2 linked regions of the Alligator mississippiensis genome follow. The protein of the gene in region 2 purifies or fractionates together with the protein of the main gene of each other region. This does not show direct contact. Links are inferred from orthologs where the notes say so. Each region holds a gene or a part of one and is shown on either strand. Other genes may lie near its edges.

What was found. Proteins that work in one complex are often made in the same cells at the same time.
Region 1: the proteins of VARS1 (region 2) and EEF1G purify together in Homo sapiens (affinity purification with mass spectrometry; 6 studies listed by BioGRID and IntAct, counting the BioPlex papers as one, with this or other methods). This does not show direct contact. The link is inferred for Alligator mississippiensis from reciprocal best matches to the Homo sapiens genes VARS1 and EEF1G.

The regions. Positions count from the first base shown.
Region 1 is NC_081838.1:3,125,685-3,133,424, reverse strand, and holds the start of EEF1G (elongation factor 1-gamma), read left to right. Parts: upstream 1-4,681; 5' UTR 4,682-4,765; coding exon 4,766-4,780; intron 4,781-5,515; coding exon 5,516-5,674; intron 5,675-6,030; coding exon 6,031-6,094; intron 6,095-6,288; coding exon 6,289-6,431; intron 6,432-7,016; coding exon 7,017-7,160; intron 7,161-7,428; coding exon 7,429-7,558; intron 7,559-7,740. Other genes in the region: 5'-3' exonuclease PLD3, read left to right, coding at 156-349; POLR2G (DNA-directed RNA polymerase II subunit RPB7), read left to right, coding at 1,558-1,569, 1,903-2,012, 2,149-2,308, 2,727-2,777, 2,878-2,943, 3,416-3,487, 3,701-3,734, 3,927-3,940. UniProt on the Homo sapiens protein: Probably plays a role in anchoring the complex to other cellular components.
Region 2 is NC_081834.1:57,717,710-57,725,802, reverse strand, and holds the start of VARS1 (valine--tRNA ligase), read right to left. Parts: upstream 3,104-8,093; 5' UTR 3,005-3,103; intron 2,957-3,004; exon of another isoform or gene 2,905-2,956; intron 493-2,904; 5' UTR 485-492; coding exon 137-484; intron 1-136. Other genes in the region: U6 snRNA-associated Sm-like protein LSm2, read right to left, coding at 5,747-5,872, 6,284-6,343, 6,513-6,543, 6,938-7,005. UniProt on the Homo sapiens protein: Catalyzes the attachment of valine to tRNA(Val).

The DNA of each region.
Region 1 (7,740 bases), on a different chromosome or scaffold from region 2:
GGAAGTGGGCGTGGGGGCTTGGAGCAGGGAGGAGCTGGGAGCCCGGACCCCTGGCTTCCACCTTTTTCTGGGGACCTCTCTGGTGAGCTGAGCCCTCCCCTGCCCAATCCCAAGCAGCACTGGTGTTTATCACTGGTTTCCCCCCCTCCCCGTAGGCACCTCGAACTGGTCGGAGGATTACTTCATCAACACCGCAGGCGTGGGCCTGGTTGTGAATCAGAGCACCGAGGAGCCGGGGACACCCGGGCCTTCCCTGCGGGAGCAGCTGGCCGCTGTGTTCAACCGGGACTGGGAATCTCCCTACACGGAGCCGCTCAGCCTCAAGCCCCGCTGTGCTGCCAGGCACTGAGGGCAGCTCCCGCTGAGGGTGGGGGAAAGCCTGGGACCCCACCCTCCTCCCCTGGACTGCTTTGGACAGCTGGGGATACCAGGTGGCTCCCACCCCCCACCTGGGGGGGCTGGGACCCTATTAGCCAAAGAAGGGGCAGCAGTAGCTGCCTAGTGCCAGGCACCCCATGGCTGCAGCTATGGCCAGGGGGTCTCTGCACTGGAATCTCAGGGTCTGATGCCCTCTCCCTGCCTGGGGGGGGCGAGGGGTCTTGGGAGGGTTGTGCTCAGGGCAGCAGCAGGGGCAATGGGCATTGTTTGGGGGGTAGGTCATGGGCTGGGGCAGGAAGAATCGGGGCTAATCAGGAGCAGGGCCTTGTGGCGGGAAGGCGGGACGGGGTGGGCAGGGGGCTGCTTTGCTGGATTGCATGGCATTGTGGGGGCACGGCGCCTCTGCCAGTTTGCACTGAGCCCGGCTGGGGGGCTGTGGCCCAGGTTTGGGGGGGGGGGGGCATACTGATGTGGGCCAAGGGGGTTCAAAGCTAGGCTGAGTGGCTAGCCCTGGGGGTGGCCTGCGTGGGGATGGGGGGGCAGGGGGCTTTGTACACAGGGGCTGTGCCTTGGGGGTGCAAGGGGACGCAGCCCTCCCCAGGGGCCAAACGCGGGGCCAGAGGTGGGGGGGTCGGTGGCTCTGAGCAGCTCCTATGTGGCTGGGGGAGGGGGGGGCTGCACCCTGCAGGGGGTTGCAGTGGGTTTGGGGGGCTTTGCAGCTGGGCCATTGCGGGGGGAGGAGTGGGAGTGGGGGGGGCCTGTGCATTGCAGTTGTCACTTTCCAGAGTTTATTTTTGTAACCAGAGCGACAATAAAGCAAATTCTGATGCCACTGGGCCTGTCAATCACCGCATACGCCCCACCCCTCGCGCTATCAATCACCGCCCCGGGCCCCGCCCCTGCCCCTGCCGGGGGCTCCGCAGCGCCCCCTTGTGCCTGCCGCGCGCAGGCGCCGTTGGGTGCCTCTGGTGTCATGGCGGCCGCGCAGCCAGCCTGCCTCTGCCCCGAGTGCGCATGCGCTGCAGCTCGCTGTCCCTCGGCTGAGCGCATGCGCAATTAGTTCCCGTGGGGGTTCTGTTACGGGCCGAGGGGGCGGGGCTCCCGCGGGGCTGCGGCCAATCGGGGGCAAGCGCGGTGTTGCGGGTTCTTTCCGGTCCGGAGACGTCGGGACTCAGGAGGATGTTTTACCACGTGAGTGGCGGAACCCCCCCCCCCCCCCATGCCCCCGGGGCTGGGACACTGCGGACCCCGCCCCAGGGAGACCCCCAGCGCAACCAGGCTTCCCGGCATGCACTGCTGCCCAGCCTTGAGAAGGGGGTTTACCTGGGGGGGTGGACAGCGGGAGGGTGACAGTCCTGGGGGGAGGAAGGAGGGCTGATGGGGGGAGGGAGGGGGGTTGACAGGGCAGTCCTGGGGGGGGTGATGGGGGGGCAGTCCTGGGGAAGGAGGGGAGTGGGTGGGGGCAGGGGGGCCTGTCCCAGCCCCTGTGACAGTCTGTGACCACCCCATGTCCTGCCCCAACAGATCTCCCTGGAGCACGAGATCCTGCTGCACCCGCGCTACTTCGGGCCCAACCTGCTCAACACGGTGAAGCAGAAGCTCTTCACCGAGGTGGAGGGCACCTGCACGGGCAAGTGAGTGGGGGGCCAGGCCAGGCTGGGTTGGGGGAGAACAGGGAGCTGGGACACGTGGATGGAGGGGATCCCACCATGATCTAATGTCCTAACGAGACTGGTGTTGTCCCTCCCCGCCCCGTTCCCTCCCTGGCAGGTACGGCTTCGTCATCGCCGTCACCACCATCGACAACATCGGGGCAGGCGTCATCCAGCCGGGCCGCGGCTTCGTGCTCTACCCCGTCAAGTACAAGGCCATCGTCTTCCGGCCCTTTAAAGGCGAGGTGGTGGATGCGGTGGTGACCCAGGTCAACAAGGTGAGGGGCGGCGGGGCACAGGAAAGCCTCTGGTGTAAGCCCTGGTGCGGAGGAGGGCTGCAGCCCTGCACCATCTGTCTTGGGATGCGGGGGGCTGTAGAAGCTGCTGGAGGCTGGGGCGTGCTGCCTCTGTCCCCCAGGACTAGAGTGACCAGATGTCCCATTTTTGGCTGGGACAGTGCCAGATTCTGCAGGCTGGTCCTGGCTGGCTGGGCAGAAGTCCTGAGCGGCGAGGCCGAGCAGCTTGGTGCGCCAGGCGGGCGGGTGGACACCTGCTGCAGTGCAGGAGCAAGGCGGGCGGACGTACGGCCACCCTAAGATACCACATCCGAGACCCCTACGTTCCTTGCTCCCGCGTTGCCCAAACCCAGGACTGTCACCGTGGCCCTCACAGCTTTGCTGCCTCCTCTTCCCGCAGGTTGGGCTCTTCACTGAGATCGGGCCCATGTCTTGCTTCATCTCCCGCCATGTAAGCACTGCCTGGGGAGGGGGCTGGGGGCTGCCTCTGGTCTGGGAGGCTCAGGTGAGACCTGGGAGCCCACCACAGCTGACTGTCCTTCTCTCCATAGTCCATCCCCTCTGAGATGGAGTTCGACCCCAATTCCAACCCCCCCTGCTATAAAACGGTGGACGAGGTGAGCTGGGGCTGACGGTGCTCCCTGGGGGCACCTGGCAGCATTGGGGGGCACTGGGGAGGCTGGGGTAGAAACTCAGGTAGGGGCTAGGGGGTGCCCCAGAGCAGGGCAAGGGGCAGGAGGGTGGCTGTTTTCCAGTACATGAGATTCCTTGGGACAAGGAAGGCCGGGACGGGGCATGTCTGCTTTAGGCTCTGCTACTGTCCTGTTGAGTGGCCTGGGCCCTGTCACTTTCCCCTCGCATGTGCCTCACTTTATTCATCTGTAAAACCATCCAGCCTCCTTCAAAAAACTTCTGAAACCAGAAAAGAGAGGGACAAGCTGGTTGCAAATGGCATCTTAGTGATGAGAGGCATTCATGTCATTGAAGCCCTTCTCCCCTGTGGAGGAGATGGCAGGGGCTGCCGTGGTGTGGGGGGAGGGGGAAGCAGGGTGCAGAAATGAGTCTCGCCTGGGCTCCACGTGTCTGCAGGACATCGTGATCCAGCAGGACGACGAGATCCGGCTGAAAATTGTGGGAACCCGAGTGGACAAGAATGACATCGTGAGTCCTGCCTGCTTCTTTCTGTGGGGCTGGAGCCGGGTTCCCAGCTACCCCATTCCTAGCAGAGGGGCTGTGGGCCTGGAGCAGCTGGGTGGGAAGGAGTTGTGGGGCTGTCCCAGTGCCAGCGGGGTGGGAGCATGGGGGCTCCAGTCCCAGGCTGCGGGAGGGGGCGGGGGGCATACGCGGTGCTCACACCTGTGTCCTGCTTTGCAGTTTGCCATCGGCTCCCTCATGGACGACTATCTGGGTGAGTCTCGTCTCTGGCTCCAGGCCTGCCCCTATCCCTGCGTACCTGCACAGACTGGTGCTCCTGACAGTTGGTGCCCGCGGGTCGGGCTCTGCTCACCGAGGGGCTGCAGTCTTTCTCAGGTGGGGGCTCCTGGGCGATGGTGCTCCAGGGTCTCCTACATCCACCCTTCTCTCTCCATGTCTCCTTCAGGTCTCGTGAGCTGATGCACAAGCCCGTTCCTCTGGTTGTGTCCCTGGGCTCCAGCTGGGATGAGCCTTGCCTCTGCCCCCCTGCACTGCTTGCCCTATTTATGGGGGTCCGGCGTGGGCCTGCCCAGGCCTGGGGGCCGGGTCCACACCTGCCTGTTCTTCCTCCCAATAAAAGCTGCTTTTCATACACCGCTGTGGTGTGTCTGCTGTTCCCCACTCCCTCCCGTGACCCGAAGCTGCTTCGTGGGAGTGGGAGGGTGTAGGGGGGCAGAGGGGGGCTGCCTGGGGCTGGGCTGTGCTGAAGCACCCGCCCCCGTAGAGCCAGGACTCTGCTGTGCTAGGTGCTGTACAGGCACAGGGTGGGAGTTTGGGGAGAGCTGCAGTAGGATGGAGGGGTGTTGGGGAATGAGCCTGGGATAAGGGGGTGCAGTGACCCTGCAACCCTGGCCAGCCCCATTGGGACCCCAGGGCGGTCTGGGAGGACTGGGACCTCCCTGAAAACAGCACCCCGCCCCCCAGCTGACAGCAGTGGGGGGGTGGGGTTTGGGGCGTGGAGGAGCCCTGGGAACAGCACGTGGGACCAGCTGCAGGACCAGCCCGCGGGCGCCCCCGTGTGACAGAAGCGCGTTATTACCACTTCCAAGGCCTCACCGCGCAGGCGCAAGCTCCTCCACGCCCCCCTACCGCCCCTCGGGAGACGCCCCTTCCGCTGCTGTGACGTCATATGCCGGCGCCGGCGGCAGGAGGCAGCTGTCGTGCTGCCGCGGCCGCGCGCTTTACGGCCCCGCCACCTCCTCCCCCGCGCGCTTTACGGCAGCCTCCCTTTCTCCGCTCGCGAAGATGGCGGTGGCCGGGGTGAGTGCGGGGGCCCCCGCCCCCTCGCGCTATCCGGCCCCATCCGCCCCGGGGGGGGCCCGGCCGGGGCCGGCGCGGGGCGGGCGGCCGAGGGCGGCCCTGGCCCGTCCCTTTGCGGCGGTTATTGGCGGGAGCTGGCGCGGAGGAGCCGCTTGCGGGGCCTGGATGTGTGGGGGGGGGGCCTGGCTCGGGTGACAGCAGGCCTTGGCCCCTAGAGGGTTTCCCTGGGGGGCGGGGCTCGGGCAGGGACCGGGTCGGGGGGGGCGTGACCCTAGCAGAGGTGCTGGGGGCCCCTGGGCCAGTAAAAGGGGGGATTGGGGTCCCGGGGGGGGGTGCTGGTGCCAAGCAGGGAGCTGGCACCGGGCACTGTGCTGCGTGGGGGGGGGGGAAGCTGTGCAAAGGGGGCACAGGAAGGTGTGAAGTGGGGGGGGCATGGGCTGGAGCTGAGGACCCCTTGGTTGGGGTCTTGAGGGGTGTGTGGGGGGGGTCAGAGGAGATCAGTCGGGGGTCGGTGGGTCTGTTGCAGGAGTGAGTTGGCAAAGGGGGGGGGCTAGGTTGAGGGGGGCTGAGGATCCTGCTGGGGGTGGGGCAGGGCAGTGCCCAACGGTGGGTGGGCTTTCGGGGTGCCTCGAGTGAGGGGTGCAGGTGCCTCGCTGGGGGCGAGGGAGCGCTGTGTGCGCGTGCGGGGGGGGGGGGCGCTGCCCGACTCCCCTCACCCCCTGCTGCGCCCCACAGACTCTGTACACCTATCCCGAGAACTGGCGGGCCTTCAAGGCGCTCATCGCCGCCCAGTTCAGCGGCGCCAAGGTCAAGGTCCTCTCCACGCCCCCCCAGTTCCACTTCGGGCAGACCAACAAGACCCCCGAGTTCCTGAAGAAGTTCCCCGTCGGGAAGGTGGGTAACGGCGCCACAGGGGGGGGGGGGGGGGGATGGGATCTGGCTGGGGGCTTTGCCAGGTTTCCAGCCGTGAGTCATCGAAATCGGACACGGCTCCGCTGCCACGCTGTCCTTCTGCCCCGGCTCCTTGCGCTGTGGGGGTGGAGGGCAAGGGGTCCCGCTTCGCATCGAGGGGAGCCGTGCGTCTCCCCAAGGGGAGCTCGGACGGTGTTTGTAAGGGGAGTTTTTCTTTCCAAAGCTTGGCAAGGGGGAAAGGCTACTCCTAGGAGCTGGGGGTGCCCCGAAGGTGGGTTCCCGTACCCACAATCCGTGGTTCCCGTACCCTACTGGTAAACGCCTCTTTCTCTGCCAAGGTCCCGGCTTTCGAAGGCGACGATGGGTTCTGCGTGTTTGAGAGCAACGCTATCGCGTACTACGGTGAGCCCGGTCCCTCTCCAGCTTCAGGGGGCTCCGGTCCAGGCAGCTCTGAGTCTGTCGGAGGTTTGGGGCTGGGGGGATGGATGTTGGGGGCAGCGCCACGTGTCTAGAGCGCTGAGAAGTTTCCTTCCCCAGTGAAGATGGGAGGGACGGGGGGCTCTTGTGCTGCTGGTGACTGTGGGCTCCCTTCTCAGTCAGTAACGAGGAGCTGCGGGGTGCTAGCGCCGAGGCCGCCGCCCAGGTCCTCCAGTGGGTGAGCTTTGCAGACAGCGACGTCGTCCCCCCTGCCAGCACCTGGGTCTTCCCCACACTGGGCATCATGCACTACAACAAACAGGTCTGTGGGAGCCGGGGCTGGAGCGGGGGGCACAGGGCTGTCCTGCAGGGGCCTGCGGTGAGGTGAAGGCTGGGATTCGCTGTCATTTCTGTCGGCTGTGGGCTTCCTGCTCCCCTACTGCCTTTGTTGCCCCAGGCACAGAGCGAGGTCCTGGCTGCTTGGCGATGAGGCTAGGTGGATGCTCAGAGGCGTTTGGTAGCTGAGGTCTGTTGTCTTTCGACCTGGAGTCAGGGGAGGGGTGCTGGGCTTAGCTATGTACAGGTGTGCCTTAAGAATGGCTGGGCGTGGGGTGTCCGCAACCTGCCTCTTTCTCTGGTCCCCCCAGGTGAGACCCTGGCGACTGCCCGAGTGGGTTGCAGGTGCACCCAGTGCTCGTGGGCTCCCCTGCTGCAGTGGATGCCCGGGCCAGGGTAGTTGGGTGGACTGTGCTCTGCAGCGGGAGCTCCCCTGCCGGAGACCTCCCCGTGCTGACTGCCTCTTGGATTAGTGTCTGAGCACCTAAGGGATGGGCTAGAGCTAGGGAGGAGGCTTTTCCGCATGGGTTTCTCTGGCCTGGGTGCTGATCTGGTGTCTTTGCTCCCCCAGGCAACAGAACTTGCCAAGGAGGAGGTGAAGCGGGTACTGGGGATCCTGGATGCACACCTAAGGACTCGGACCTTCCTGGTGGGCGAGCGGATCACGTTGGCTGACATCACCGTCGTCTGTACCCTCCTCTGGCTCTACAAGCAGGTGCGGGTTGTGGGGGGAGGGTGGCTCCGTGGCCGTAGCCAGCAGCTCTGGAGGGGGCTGGCAGCTTTGGAGGCTCTGGACAGGGGCTGCTGTCTAGACGGATCACTTGGCTTGGCCTGGAGCTCTTGGTGTCCAGGACAACAGAAGGCTGCCGCTGTGTGTGCTGCGTAGCCGCCAAGGTTTGTGGGGGAGGTAGAAGGGAACCAAGATCCTCTACACGCTGTGGCGATGGGGCCAGCCCCAGCTGACTGGTGGCCTGTCCCTCCAGGTTCTGGAGCCATCCTTCCGCCAGCCCTATGTGAACACCAACCGCTGGTTCGTCACCTGCATCAACCAGCCGCAGTTCAAGGCCGTGCTGGGGGAGGTGAAGCTCTGCGAGAAAATGGCCCAGTTTGATGGTGAGGAGCTCCCTGGGCTGCGAGGGGGGAGCTTGGCTGAGTCCCCTTGCCAAGGTGTCGGGGTTTGTTCCTGCCTCCCAGGAGCAGCCACTCGCCAGCATTGCCCAGGCTGCACCTGGAGCTAGTGCAGGGGGCCCATCCCGCACCAGCACTTCCTCATAGGCTGGCCCTGTCCTCGCTTC
Region 2 (8,093 bases):
TCTCCTCCCAGAGAATCCAGACATCTGGCCTCCCAGCCTCCCTGCTCTCATGCCCCCCACACCCCTTCCAAGGGAACCCAAGGCCTCCTGCTCCCAGCCCCCACCCCCACGCCCCTCCCACAGAATGGAGGCTTACCTGTGGGCCAAGGGCTGCCAGGCCAAGGTGGGGCAGGGAGGCAGCGGTGGCAGCAGGGGCCACATCAGCTTGGGCATAGGCCACCCACTGGCGCACTAGAGTGGCCTGGGCCAGGCCACAGCCACGCAGGGTTGGGGGGGCCAGCAGGAAGGTGACAGCGGTGGCTCCGGTCACACGCAGCCCCCCTGGATCCTCCAATGCTGGCAGCCGGGGCAGGGCAAAGGGACCAGGAGGTGTCAGATCGGGCACAGGCACCACACGGGGTGGACAGGGGGCAAAGCGCGATACCACCAGCGCCTGCCGGCTGGCCACATCTTCGGCACAGGGGGACACAAACAGCGTGGCCATGTCCAGGCCTGGGACAGGGGAGAAAGAAAGGGGGTGAGAACCCAAGCATCCAGGCTGCCAGCACCCCCTGCTGTAACCCACTGGAGCTCCTGGGGCCCACCCAGGGGTCCAGGCTCCCAACTCCAATCCAGCAGCTCCCCATTCCCAGCGGCAGAGAACACAGACAGTCAGGCTGTCAGCTCCCCACCCTGCTCTGATCCCCCTCCCTGATCCCCAACGCCACCCCTGCTCCTAGGAACCTGTGTCCCAGCTGATGCGATCCCATGGACACCCTCCACCAAAAGGGACCCAGGTGTCCAGTCATGCCCCCTATAACAGTGGGTCCTACTGTAATCTGGGGAGGAGGGAGGGAATTATAGTGGGTTGTACCATAAATCTAGGGAGTAGGGAGGTCCTACCATAATTCTGGAAGGGGAGGGTGGAATTACAGGGGGTCCTACTGTAACTAGAGGGGAGGAGGATTATAGTGAGTCGTATCATCATTTGGGGGAAGGCGAGGAGGGAATTACAAAGTGGTCCTATCATAATCCTGGGGGAGGGTTAGAGTGGGTCATACCATAATTGGGGGGTACCATAATTCTGGGGGGAGGGGGAAATTATAGTGGGTCATACCACAATTCTGGGGGGGAAGGGAGGAATGACAAGGGATCCTATCATAATCTTGGTGGAGTAGGGAGATTATATTATATATTTGCATCTTTTTTGTACTGTTTTTGATGCAAGCAGCCTTGCTCTGTTCACATCCATCCAGAAAGCTGATGTAAACATTATTTTCCTAGCCTGTAACTTTGACATGCTGCTCCTCTTGGTGCATCTCTCTGTTAGTTCTTCCTTCTCTATTGCAGTCTAACAAAAGCTGCAAGGTACTGCACCTGGGGAGGAAGAACCAGCAGCATACCTACAGGCTGGGGAACTCTCTTCTTGAAAGCACAGAGGCAGAAAAGGATCTTGGTGTCATTATAGACTCCAAGGTGAACATGGGCCGACAATGTGAGGATGTGGTCAGGAAGGCTAACCGCACCTTGTCATGCATCCACAGATGCATCTCAAGCAGGGCCAAGGTGATCCTCCCCCTCTATGCAACACTGGTCAGGCCGCAGCTGGAGTACTGCGTCCAGTTCTGGGCACTGCACTTCAGGAGGGATGTGGCTAGGATCAAGAGGGTCCAAAGGAGGGCCACCACCATGGTCAGGGGGCAGCAGGGCAGGCCCTACAAGCAGAGGCTACGGGACCTGAACCTGTTCAGCCTCAAGAGAATGCTGAGAGGGGATCTGGTGGCCACCTACAAACTTGCAAACGGAGACCAGCAGGCAATGGAAGAGTCCCTGTTCTCCCGAGCACTACCGGCAGTAACAAGGAACAATGGCCATAAGTTAATGGAGAGTAGATTCAGATTAGATATCAGGAGGCACCACTTCACTGTCAGGGCAGATAGGATCTGGAACGCTCCTACCCTGGGGGTCTTCAAAAGGAGGCTAGACAGCCACCTAGCCAGGGTCGTTTGACCCCAGTGCTCTTTCCTGCCATGGCAGGGGGTCGGACTTGATGATCTGCTCAGGTCCCTTCCGACCCTACCAACTATGAAACTATATGGGATCCTGCCATAATTCTGAGGGGCTATAGTGGGTTGTACCACAATTCTAGGGGAAAGGAAGAAGAATATGAGGGCCCTACCGTAATTCTGGGGATGGTATTATTAGTGGGTTGTATTATCATTGGGGGGAAGGCCAGGGGCCCCGCCATAATTCAGGGGTGAGAGAGGGATTATATGGGGTTCTATCATAATTCTTGGGTGGGGGTGGGGATTACAGTAAGTCCTATGCTAATTCTGAGGGGTTTACAGTGGGTCATACCATAATTTTGCAGGGAGGGGAATTATATGTGGTTTCACCATAACTGTGCAGGGGGGTGCTATAGTGAGTCCTCCCAACACTGTATGGAAGGGAGAGGAATGGCAGAGACTCCTACCATAATTCGGGGGGGAGGGGAGATAAGTGAGTCCTACCTTGACTGGTGGGGAAGGGTGAAGGATGACAGTAGGCCCTACTATATCTTGGGGGGGGGGGGGAGGGTTAGTGGATCATACCATAATTCTAGGAATGAGGGGGGATTAACAGTGAGTTGTACCATACTTCTGGGAATAGGTGGGGAATGACAAGGGGTGCTACCACAATTCGGGGGGGGGGATACTGGGTCCTACCACAGTTCAAGAGAGGGAGTGACAGGAGGACCTACCATAATTTGGAGGATGGAATTATAGTGGGTTCTGGGTAGTTGGGGGGGGGGGTCCAGGGGCTCTACCATAATTCCCGGGGGAGACGGAGAAATGACAGCAGGTCCCACCATAATCCGGGAGGGGGATAATAGTGAGTCGTACCATAATTCTGGGAGGGGCGGGGGGGCATTAAAGAGGGTCCTACCACAATTCTGGGGGAGAAGATTGCAGGGGGTCCTTCCAACGCTCTGGGGGGTGGGGGATTACAGGGGGTCCTGCCACCACTCCCCCCGCCCCCTTCTTACCTCCCAGAGCCCCACGTGTGCCGCCCGGCCTCGCTCTACACTCCAAGGACCCACTTGGGGCTGACCACAGCACTGCCTGAGCCGCGCCACGCAGCCCCGCCCCCTCCGCCTTCACTAGGCAGCTGGAGGGGCGTGGTCGGGTTTAGCCGTGCCCCTCTTTAGCATGAATGCGGGCGTGGCTTTGTTTATCTAGTTGGACAGGCACTAGCTAGGATACTCGCAAAACGGGGCCTTGTAGAAAGGAAGCTGCGTGGAGGCATAAAGGTGCTGGGGTGGATAGAGCGGCCACAGCGCAGGCCGTGCACTTGGGCAGGTTCATAGAGTGTCATAGCGCCCCCTGGGCGCCTGGGTTCACGGGCGCTCCTCTGCGGGCCGGGGGCTGCGTAGAGCCGGGGGCAGAGCCCGGCTGTCCTGGCCCCAGCCCCTGTTGTCACCCCCAGGCCCCACTCCCCACGTGACACTGGGCTGGTCTCTGCGGGAATGGGGCATTAGAGAAGGGGGGCTGGGAGGGACACCTGGCTCCTTTGGGAGGGTCCCAGAGAGCCCAGGTGTCCCTCCCTTCTGTAGTCCCCACACCCACCCCGCTCCCTCCCCGGTGCGAGAGCCAGCGGCCCGTCTACAAGGGAGCTGACTGCCCCGCAGCATCGCGCGGTGCAAACTCCCTGGCTCCCGGCCTGGTGCAGCTGCCGTGGGGTGGCCAGCAAAAGCCTGTGCCAGGCAGAAGCCGCTCGTCTCTAGCAGCCCCTGGCTCGGGGCCGCGGCGGGTCGGGTCAGGTGGGCCGAGTGGGTGCTCGGTGCTCAGCGAGCAGAGCCGCGCTGCGGCATGCACGCCGGCTTTCGGAGGGGCAGCGAGGGCCCCCGGCCTTCCAGGCCACAGCCGGGCCCCGCGGGCTAGACGGGAGTGCCTGGCCGGCGGGATTCTGCCCGCCCCTAAAATGCAGAGAGAACAGGAGGGGTGTGCGGTGCCCACACCCCTCCCGAAATAAACGGAGAACCCAGGCGTCCCGGTTCCCGCTTTAACCCCAGGCCACCCCTGGACTGAACAGAGAACCCGGGCAGCTGGGCCGCAACCCGGGATAGGAAAGAAGAGGGGAGACTGGATGCTACAAAACACTTTTATTGAGATGTGGGAGCATAAAACCAGAGCAGAGGGGACCACCACCAGCCCTGGTGGGATGGAGACACCCCTCACCCCAGCTTGGGGAATGGACCAGGCCAGATGGGCTGGTCCATTCCCACCCCCAGGCAGCCCAGTGTGGCACAGGGGATTCTTGATGAGGCTAAACAGGCCCTAGGGCTGGCTGCTGTGGGGCAGGGGGGTGGGGGGAGAAACCCCCAAGTTCCCCCTCGCCAGTCTCTTCCGGGTGGATCAGTCCGGCTGAACTCCTCCCCCTAGGAGGTAGGCCTAATGGAGCAGTCTAAACACCATTTCCCCCCCCTTCAAGCAAGATAGATCAACCTACGCTTCCCCCTACAAACCAAGGCAAATGAGCTACTCCACTCCCCCCTGCAGTCCAAGCCGGTTGGACTAGTCCTTTCTACCCCCCTACAAAGCTAAATGGAGTAGTCCATTCTACCCCCTGCCTGCCAAGCTAGATGGACTAGTCTATTCCAAACCCCCATGCAATCCTAACTATTTGAATTAGTCCATTCTAACCCCTACAAAGCTAAATGGATTAGTCCACTTTACGCCCTTGTAGTCTAAACTAGATTAGAACCCTTCTACCCCAGAAGCCAAATGGACTAGTCCACCGTAGGCCCTGCAGGCCAAGCTAGAACTAGTCCAGTCCACCCCCTACAATCCAAGCCAGGTGGACCAGTCCACTCTACCCTCCCCCCAACCATCTAAAGTAGACTAGACCATTCTACATAAACTAGTCCATTCCACTCCCCCTGCAAGTCAGATAGACTAGTCCATTGTAACCACCACCCCTTTTTCAGCTTCATAGCTTAGAGCCTAGAGCCCCCCCCCATTCCAGTCCCTCCTAGCTGCGAGGCCCTGGGGGAGCTCCAGGAACCCAGATGTCCAGGACCATGGCCAGTACCCCCCTCCCCGCCCCATAGACCCAGACAAGCCTTGATACAAATCAAAGGTTGAAGACACCCAAATTTAATACCCCACTGCCAAGTCTATGCACAGACAAGGCCCCAAAGATGCCCCCATGTGATTATTTGCCCCCCAGGTGCTGGAACCCCCTCCCCCTCCAGGACCCTCGACTCTATCCCATAGGGGGCAGGGAGACTAGATACCCTGCCTTAAAAGAACCAAAAGGAGGGGTAGAAAACTCAGTGCAACAAAAGATCAGGCTAAAATAGGGGCCTTCAGGAGTGTGGTGAAAAAAAGGGATGGGGTCCCGTAAGAGGAACCCCCCCAGTAGTTGCAGGGGGGAAGAACCCAGGCACCCAGGGACCTAGATATGGCTCCAGTTCTGCTCAGGACCGGAGCAGGAACCCAGGTGTCCGGGGAGGTAGATGTTGGCTCCAGCGCTGCTCAAGACTAGGACAGGGATCCAGGTGTGCGGAAGGGCACGAACCCAGGTGTCTGGGGATCTAGATGTAGGCTCCAGCGCTGCTCAAGACAGTGCAGGAGCCAGGCACCTCTGAGCTATTAGCCCAGGTGTGGGGGGGGGGGGGGGGGGGGGGGGGGGCAGGACAGGAACACAGGGGTGTGGGGAGGTCTGGACGTGGGCTCCAGCTCTGCTCAGGTCTGAGGCAGGAACCCAGGCATCCGGGGGGGGCAGGTCACTGCTTCTGCTGGAGCGCCTCCTTGCGCGCGGCATCCTGCAGCAGCTGTGTGTCCACCTCGTCGGCTGGCAGCTGCACGTACCGGACCACTGAGCCCCGGATGAAGCAGTTCTTCACTGACAGCTGGGGGGAGGGGGGGAGCAGGAGGGTCAGTGTCCACAGCTGGGGGACTCTCCACCTCCCCCAGGGTGCTCCAGCCACAAGCTAGGACCCCCCACAGCCAGTGAGACAGCCCCTCACAATATCATCAAGCCCCACCCAAGCCAGTCCCCACCCCAGGACCTGGCCTCCCCCCACACTCCCAGCCACCAGCACCCTCCCAGAGCCTGGCCTCCCCATATACCCCCAGACCCCTGCAACCTCCAAGCCCCTCCATAGCCTGCCCCCCACACACACCTCCAAGCCCCTTAAACCCCAGTCTCCAGTCCCCTCAATTCACCCCCCTGCCCCAAGCCTGGCCTCCCCACACCCCCCAAACCCAGCCCTCCCACACACACCCAAGCCTAACCCCTGTGTCCCCCCACTGGCCATTACCATGTGTGGGTACTTCTCAGGGTCTGTCACACTGATGTCTGTCAGCTTGATGTTCAGGTACTGGGAGGGGGTGGGAAGAACAGACAGACAGAGAGACAGGCCCTGAACCTAGTGCTGTGAGGTAGAGGCCTGGAGCCTCCTAGCTGGCTGCAGAGCAGCTTGGGGGGGAGGGGTGGCCCTTTAAAGGGACTGAATCATTGAGGGGCATGGGGGGGAGAAGAGGTCCTACCTGGTCTACGGAGTGGAGTGTCCCACAAATGCTGCAATAGAGGAGGGGGTTAGTTCGTGGGGCAGGGGGAGCCCCGATGCTCGGGTTCTCTCCGTGCTGTGGGGGGAGAGTGGAGTCTGGTTGGGGAGCAGAGGGAGTTGGGAGCCCAGATACCTGGGTTCTCTCCCAGCACTTGGCTGGAGATGGGGGCAGATGCATTAGAGCAGGGGGCTGGAAGCCCGGACACCTGGGTTCTTTTGCTGCTCCGGGAGCCGAGTGAGGTGTGGAGGGGGTAGTACTTGGGAGCCCAAACACCTGGGCACCTGGGTTCTCTCCCAGCTCTGGGTTCTCCCTCTGCTCTAGGTGGGGAAAGCCTGGAGGGGAGGGGGGAGTTGGGAGCCCAGAAACCAAGGCACCCCCCAGGCCTAAAGTAGGCACCCGCTCACCTGAGGTCGTTTTTCAGCTCCACCACCACATCTTTGCCCACCAGGGACTTGAAGAAGGAGTAGAAAAGCTGTGGAGGGGAAAAAATGGCAGGGCTCAGCCTGGGGCAGGCACACAGCCCCCCCACCACCCCGAGCACAAGGCTGAAGCTGGTCCTTTACTTCCAGGTCCTGGTCCCTTTCCCAGACCCAGTCTTTACGCAGCTGAAGGTTGTTAGCAGCAAAGTACAGCAGCCAAAGAATCCAGGTGGCACCAAAACGATCTATTTGCTTATGACAACCTAAAATAGCATCATGCCTCAAGGACACAGCACCAAAAAGACCTGATCTGCAGCTGGGTTTCTGGGGTCAAATCCTCTCCAGGTTGCCCCAAACCACATGTCTTTACCGCCACGGCATGCTCTGAACAAGTCTGAGCAGGGCCCTGTCCCGCACCAAGCTCAGTTCTTGCGCCAGCGCTGCCCGCCCCCAGCCTGGGCACTGTGGGTGCCTGCACACAATGTTGGCTTTTTCTAGCTAAAGATAATCTCCGGGTTTATTTCATTTTCACAATGTACTACAATGATTTCCGTTACTATTTTGCACGTAACATGTATAACACTCAAAATTCGTTAATGTACTATAACTAGTAAAAAACGCTAGACACATCATAACAGTTTTAACCATCCCGATCTTCTACTACTAAATCACAGCAGGGGGCAGGTTAGGAATGAAATTTGTGATTGGTTTAGTTTTTTTTTCTGGGGGGGGAGGGGGGGTGGCCTTTGGGTTAGACTGCTCCTACTGCCCCAATTTTCTGCCACTCAACGATGCATTTTCAGGTGCTCTACCCAAAAAACGTACTAGCCTTGTCAATTTTGGGGACATGGAGTGAGACTGGTTAGCTTTTGGTTGCAGTTCCATAAACACCACCCCCTGCACAGCAGCCAGCAGGCAGCCGTCAGGAAGTGGAGGGCTTGGACCCCGTGGTCCATGTGTGGCGTTCTCTCATTGGCACAAATTTTCTGCAGATTTGTAAAGCATTTTCCAGGTGCTCATCCCAAGAAATATGCTGGCTTGGCCAATTTTGGGGTACAGCAGCAATTTTATAACAGTCACTTTTGGGTTTGGGTTTTTTTTTTTTTTTGTTTTGTTTTGTTTTTTTAAACTTTTCTGTCCA